Macaca fascicularis: one gene and its partner. The protein of the gene in region 1 purifies or fractionates together with the protein of each later gene. This does not show direct contact. Links are inferred from orthologs where the notes say so. Each region holds a gene or a part of one and is shown in the gene's direction. Other genes may lie near its edges. The genes, in order: MYO1E and OSTF1.

Evidence for each region.
Region 2: the proteins of MYO1E (region 1) and OSTF1 purify together in Homo sapiens (co-immunoprecipitation; 3 studies listed by BioGRID and IntAct, counting the BioPlex papers as one, with this or other methods). This does not show direct contact. The link is inferred for Macaca fascicularis from reciprocal best matches to the Homo sapiens genes MYO1E and OSTF1.

Annotation. Positions count from the first base shown.
Region 1 is NC_088381.1:35,649,069-35,652,891, reverse strand, and holds part of MYO1E (unconventional myosin-Ie), read left to right. Parts: intron 1-2,829; coding exon 2,830-2,944; intron 2,945-3,154; coding exon 3,155-3,324; intron 3,325-3,823. UniProt on the Homo sapiens protein: Actin-based motor molecule with ATPase activity. Unconventional myosins serve in intracellular movements. Their highly divergent tails bind to membranous compartments, which are then moved relative to actin filaments.
Region 2 is NC_088389.1:105,847,879-105,851,701, forward strand, and holds part of OSTF1 (osteoclast-stimulating factor 1), read left to right. Parts: intron 1-913; coding exon 914-967; intron 968-2,423; coding exon 2,424-2,531; intron 2,532-3,471; coding exon 3,472-3,521; intron 3,522-3,823.

The DNA of each region.
Region 1 (3,823 bases):
TGTTTCATACCCGCTTTTACTTTTCAACTTGTGAGATTTTCATATATAATTAAAACAGCCTCAATATTTGTAATACTATTTTTTCTGATTCAGTTGCGTTGGAGGGGGTTATATTCAAAATCAAGATTTATTTTTGGCTGTCCTTTTCCTTGCCTTACACTCAATTGTGTTATTACCATTACTTGACTCTCCTTTCCCCCATCTTTGACATGTGCACTCACACACGCACACCATCACCTCTGCTCTCTCCCCTGCCCCAAACGCATACATCCCCATCTAGCCCTGACATGCAAATACTTTCACAAAAGTTGGTTTTTAAAATCTGGCTGGGCACAGTGGCTCATGCCTGTAATCTCAACACGTTGGGAGGCTGAGTTGGGAAGATGACTTGAGGCCAGGAGTTCAAGACTGGGCAAGTCAGTTAGACCTCATCTCTACAAAAAAATTTAAAATTAGCTGGGTGTGGTGGTACGCGCCTGTTGTCCTAGCTACTCAGGAGGCTGAGGTCAGAGGATCACTTGAGCCCAGGAGTTCAAGGTTACAGTGTGCTATGATTGTACCACTGCAGTCCAGCCTGGGCAACAGATCAAGAAAGACCTTTTCTCTTAAAAAAAAAAAAAAAAAACAGGAAAAGGAAAAAGAAAAAAAGAAAAACTACCATGTGGTTTTACCTTAATAGTAAATGTGCTGAATATACAAAATTACCTATTTGCTTTAACAACCCCCATCATGGCTGGGCGCGGTGGCTCACGCCTGTAATCCCAGCACTTTGGGAGGCTGAGGCGGGTGAATCAAGAGGTCAGGAGATCAAGACCATCCTGGCTAACACGGTGAAACCCTGTCTTTACTGAAAATACAAAAAAAATTAGCCGGGTGTGGTGGCGGGTGCCTGTAGTCCCAGCTACTCGGGAGGCTGAGACAGGAGAATGGGGCTTGAACCCGGGAGGCGGAGCTTGCAGTGAGCCGAGATTGCGCCACTGGACTCCAGCCTGGGCAACAGAGCGAGACTCTGTCTCAAAAAAAAAAAAAACAAAACAAAACCCACATCAGACACCATGGGGTTTGTTTTTGTTTTGTGTTACATGTATCCATGTCTTTTGGCTTTTTCATTCAGGGTTGTTTTGTGTGTTTTTCTGTTGTTGTTATTGTTTGGTTTTGTTTGGTTTTTATTCTCTCCTCACCTATGTTATCAAGGTTTTTTTTCTTGAACCTCCCTAATTTCTAACCCCCTGGACTTTTAAAAAGAAATCTAAAATCCAGCGAATCTTTGAGATAGTCTCTAGGAAGTTGGGAATCGTTTGCCTCTTCATCCTTTCTGAGTCACAAGTGTATTTTCTGTGATACGCCCAAAATAGTTCTGGGAAAGAAGAAGGAAAAGAGACTTACTCAGAAACCCAATACACAAGATAAGAAATATCAATGGATATTCTTACAACAGGCAACTAACTGCAGGGCTCAGATTTTAAACTTTCTGTCCAGTTGCTAATCTGTGCATTCCACTTGGGGTTTAGAAATCTGTCCTTATGTCCATTGTATACGGCACTGAAGCCGGGGGAATTACGTGGCCCCTCCCCTGGTGTCTGGAGTTTGGGTTGTTGTTTCTGCACAGATGGAGCTATGAGAAGGAGAGAAGTTGAGTGGCAGGAGAGGATAGGTCTGGCTCCCAAGCATATACCCGGCTAAACAGAGACAACAAATCAAGCCCAGCTGCCTTCAAACCACATTGGCTTGTTTACTTCTGGAACATTTTTGCAATGACTATTCATCATCTTTACTTTGGATTCTTATTGGTTGATTTTCTTTTTTTCCTAGAGAGTCATGGAAGCCACTCTCAAGGTAGATGAAAAGGTTTCCTACCATTTTACAAGTGGATCAAATGCAGGTTTACAGAGAAAGCTTTGCATGTCTAAATGAGGAGCCTGGCAGAGCCTGAAAGACCTAGGTTCACTTTCTAGCCCCACCCAGTCTTAGTTCCAGTTTTCTCATCTGTAAAACGGAGATGACAGAGTATGTGGCTCATGTAGCTGTGATGTTGAATGAAACTGCGTGGAAATCATCTGGGTAACTTCTGCCCCACAGTGGGCACTTGGCTCACTACAGCTGTTTGTTGTCGCCTTTATTATTCCAAAGCCTGGCTGAGGTGCAGCCTCAGCATTCATTGGTAAAATGGCCCAACTCTCAAGACCTGGCAGAGGCTGATGTGGCCCCTAAACAGCTCCAGCCCTCCTGGGCAAATCCAAGTCCTAACTAGCACACCTCAAGTCCAGCTCCAATCACTGTGGTTATTATCCTCGCTCGGCTGCTCCGTGGTGAATCCTGAGACAGGAAGTCTGTATTTTCTTGGAACTGAAAGTAGAGCAGCCCTCCTTCCACAGCAGCACAAGCCCTGCTCCTGCAGAAACTGGAAAATTCTGTTTAGAGGCTGCATGCCGAAATGCCGCACCAAACAACAGCAACAGCTCCACCTACTCACTTGATCTGGCTTCCTAATAATATCTTTGGATGAAGGTGGGGGATAAGTGGAGAAGCGCTGAATCGCTCATTTGATTCTCACAGAGACTGTAGCAAGGCAGGGCAAGGTCCAACTGAATACACTCAAATTCTATTTCCCATTGTTTTCCATTAAAAGAAAAAAGGTATAGGTCATTTTATAGTGGGAGATAAAAAACATGCCACAGTAAGCATTTCACGTATTTGTTCATGAATCAGAGAAGTTGCTTCCTGTGCATGTCATTGTCTAAACTGAGTGTCCCTGGAATGACAAGAAAAGTAGTGTTCAGGGATTGGGGCTTGGGGCTTGGCTCACATTTGTCTTCTCTCCATTCACAGCTATTTCTTTTAGAAGAGATGAGAGAGAGAAAGTATGATGGATATGCTCGAGTGATACAGAAATCATGGAGGAAATTTGTGGCCCGGAAGAAATATGTTCAAATGAGAGAAGAAGGTATTTTAGCAATTTTGTTTCATTCATTTTAACAAATCTGAAGAGTAAATTTGAGCTTAAGTGAAGTTCTAAGTTCCATTTTATTTTGCATATAATGTCATGCTACAAATATTGCATCATTTAGAGTTTATTTGTATATTTTCACAGTATTTTCCTCCTTTTTCTGACTGACTTATCCTTCTTCCATCTTAACCCTCTTGGGAATTGTAGCCTCAGACATCTTACTGAACAAGAAGGAGAGAAGGAGAAACAGTATTAACAGGAACTTTATAGGGGATTACATTGGGATGGAAGAGCACCCAGAACTCCAGCAGTTCGTGGGCAAGAGGGAGAAGATTGATTTTGCAGACACAGTCACCAAGTACGACAGGAGGTTCAAGGTACGTGCTGACTGTCCGCCTCTGAGATCACCAGATTCCTTACTTTTTTAAAAAAATAACTTGTTATTTTGCTTTTGTTGTTACCAAAGCAGAACATGGTCATTGTAGAAAAATTTAGAAAAAATATAAACCGAAAGAAAAATCAGTACCTATGCCCAGAAACAATCACTGTTAACATTCTGTGTATATCTATATCTTTCAGAATGTTTTTATGAAAACATACATTTGTGTGTTTAGTTTTACAAAACTGAGATACATATTGCATGCTGTTTTATGTCCTGAGGTAGTTTTTTATTTGTTTGTTTGTTTAAATAATGCCAGGGAGAATTTTCAATAGTAATACAGGGAACAATATAAGTTATTTTACATGGCTTCATAGTATTCCATTTTACAGATGCCTTATTATTTTTAACCAATTTCTCATGAATCTATTTTTAGTGAGTTTTTCTTTTTTACTATCATAACTTCAATGAGCATCTTTTCACACATCTTTGTGTAT
Region 2 (3,823 bases), on another chromosome or scaffold:
CTTAACCCAAGGTTTCCGAGAACGCTTATGGTTTTACTTTCTTCAGCTCCTAAAACAATTGTTTTTAATGCTGATAAACTCAATCTTGCAGATCGTTTCTTAGACTAGCCCTTTCTTTTGTGATGGAGTAACACGACCTTGTTAATTCATGTTCGGGGCAGTGACGTTCATTAAATGCTTATCGTGGCAGTTTGGGGACCTTGAGAGAGGAGAGACACGGCTCCCGCCATGAAGCTGCTTCTAGCTGCAAGTGGGACAAATGGACAAAACACTTATTTAGTTGTCAGCAGAATAAAGTCAAAAGAGCACAGAATTGATAAACAAGGCTCCTGAGTTTTAATCCTTTTTCTTCCATTTCCTAATAACACTCCCTACTGATTCTAGGACAGCAGTAAACACACCTTCTTTTAGAGGCAGGTAGCTATGCTGATTGTTCTTTCTGAATACAGGAAGCAAAATAATCCCCCCGCCACCCACTCCTACATAAATACACACAAGAGACTCAAAATTACTTTTAGGCATCTTTAAAGCAGAGTGATCTACAAAATGTAAAAATGAACATCAAATGCTTTCTTTTGCATTTTTGTGCTTTGTTTATTGAATACTTGAGTAATATCAAGTATGCATTCAACTCAGGTATGCAGGTTTGTTTGTTTTTGTTTATACTTCCAGTTAATTACTAGGTTATTGCGTTATTGCCTGGCTTCCTTTCCCTTAACACCTAATTCAGCTTCATTTAATGCAAGAACTATCCATTTGATTTTCTGTTACTTTTTATCCACATTAAGTAAAGGAAACTGTGTTGAAGGCCCTGGTACTCCTGAAGCTGGGGGACTGTGGTGAATGAGTGGCTTCAGTAAATCATTTGTGTGGTAATTCAACATTGGGCTAACACTTTTTATTTTCAATCTAGTGGCTGAGCAGGCAGAATCTATTGACAATCCATTGCATGAAGCAGCAAAAAGAGGTAGGTGTGATTCTTTTTGACTGAGGTATACAGTACAGTAAAATGCACGGATTTCAATTAGTTTTGACAAGTGCATACACCCATGTAACCAACACTCAGATCAAGATCTGGAACATTTCTACCATCCTATAAAGTTCCCTTTGTACCTTCTCAGTTAAATCCCTGCCTTCCCCAGAGACAGTCTGTCCCAACATCTATTACCCTAGAGCAGTGTGATTTTAATTTTAAAATGTCAATCAAGAAACACTGTTGTGGGGAGACGCAAGTCGAAAGACATGGTCTGTGACTTCCAAAGCTCAACATCTGGCAGGGGAGAGAGAGATGTAACAGATCATTAAAATATGGTATGATAAGTACAGTAATTGAAATGTGTTTAACAGGCTGTAGAGGCCAGGGTGGGTAACTGGAGGGCAGAAGAATGGAAGGGTCTGGTGGGTACAGCATTTAGGAGAGCATTGGTGTGGTGAGCACTTGGCCAGGGAGGGCATAACAACAGGGATGAACCTGGGGAGGATCCTTGACCAAACAACTGTCAATCTTGTCTTGGGCTTTATTCTGTAGATCAGTAGTCCTCAGCTAGGGGTGATTCCTCTTTCACAAACCCTGAGGATATTTGGCAATATCTGGAGACGTGTTGACTGTCATGACTGGAGGGATGTTACTGGCATCTTTTGGGGAGAGGCAGGGGTTATTGCCACACATCCTACAGCACACAGGAGCACCCCCACAATAAATCCAACCCCAAATGCCAATGGGGTTGCTGCCAAGAAACCCTGCTATAGATAATGGGGAGTTTTTGTAAAGCCTCAGTGAGCTCCATTTCATTCAATTTTTAGATTTTTTTGGAAATCTGAATGTACACAAGGAAATTATTGGTTAGGATTGTGAAAAAGTAAAAGGAGTAAACTGACATTTTAAAAATTCTTTGTAAATTAGATACTTGGGACATTAGCCTGAGGATTTTAAATTAATAGTTATAGTTTAGTATATAAGAGCAGCAGCTTTGAGTAGGTTATTTAGCCTTTCTTATAGGAACTGAAGATGCATTGTAAATATGAATATGAATAGTATCTGCTTGTTCTTAGGTTTGATTGTTTTTTCCTCAATTTCCAGAATTTCACAAAGAAAAAATAATATATGTATATACACATACAAACACACACACACACATATATATTTTTTAACAGAATAGAAATACCTTAAGTATACCCATTTAGGCAACTCTTCCCATTAACCTATCATTAGAAACATTGATGTTAATACTTTACATTAATAACCTGGAAGTCAAAATGTACCATAATAAATGCATTAATGGGCAGGTCTTAATTTACTACTTACTGATTAATCCATTGCAAATGGAAATTTGTGCAGAATGAAACAGTGAAATTTATTTAAAAGCAAAATAAAAAGTGAAAGCTTTTTTTCTTGTGTTTTTGTAAATGTAAAATTCTTTCAGGCAACTTGAGCTGGTTGAGAGAGTGTTTGGACAACAGAGTGGGTGTTAATGGCTTAGACAAAGCTGGAAGCACTGCCTTGTACTGGGCTTGCCACGGGGGTCACAAAGGTATTCCATTTTGTTTGTTATATGTTTCTATGCTGCTGAAAATATGTTTCACCTACGGGAGCCAGATTTACAAAAAATGAGAAAGAAAAAGCATTGGCTATTGTTTTTGAATCCTTTAGAACAGCGGCCAAAAGCCTTGTTCCTGGAAGCTCTGTAGAACAGTGGGTAGAGTGTGGTCAGCCAGTCTCTCCGCATGGGCCCCTCTCGCTTGAAAGACTGGACACTTCCTTTCCTCTCTCAGGCTTAGAAAGGTTACTGGAAAACAGCAGTAATATCAAAACAAAACCGCTGTCTAATCTTACAGAAGAAAAGATCAGAATTGACTCCCTAGCTTAGCTTTTCACAAGGTCTGCTTTTATGATTTGCATTTTAAGTTTCATGCAAACTATTAGATTCAAGAGAAAGCCAACATTTGCCTAAGTTAGCGATTCCATTGATACTTTTTCTGTTATAATCAATAATAATGACAAAGTGAATTTTTAGATGTATTTTTTCCTGGCCAAAAATGTATTACCCACTGCTTTTCTACGTCTCTCTATAACAAAGGAAATAAACTCAACAACAAGAAGAAATGAAGATCTCAACAAATTAAATAGCAGTGCCAAAGGAAAATTTGTAACTGTCTCCTAAAAAGAAGCTTATCTTATTTCAGCTAATAAACATGTTAGTTATATGAATGAAAAGTATTATAATGAATGTAAAAATATTCCTGTGTCATATGAAAATGCAAAAGCCAAAACTATTAGAAAAAGTGTATTTTCCTAAATAATTCCACTTTTTAGATTCTTAAGTTTTTCTATTTTATAAATTTTAGAAAATGTGTTAACATTTTCTTGAAGGTTCTTCTAAAGAATCTCGCTTTTATAAAATTATTGTACCTAGATTTGTCAGGCTTCTAATTTTAATTCTTAAAAAAGTATCTTTTCTCTTTGAATTTCAGATATAGTAGAAATGCTATTTACTCAACCAAATATTGAACTGAACCAGCAGGTAAGACTGCTTATCTGAAAATTATTTAACACATACCTGCTTGTTCTCTTTAGTACAGAGCAACTTATGGGCATGTGAAGTATTGTCAAAATACTACAAGCACATAATTTAAAAATTATAATTGCACTAAAATTCAAATTGTCCACAGCCCCAAGTGCCAAACCCACTCCTCCTCAGATGTCACTTTCAGCTTTTAGCTCTTTCTTTGTGTACTTACCTTTGTCTTACCAAGGAATAGGCTGACGGAGCTATCTCTCTGTGCGTTATCTTCATGTGTACTTTGGCCTCCTGTTGGGTATGTG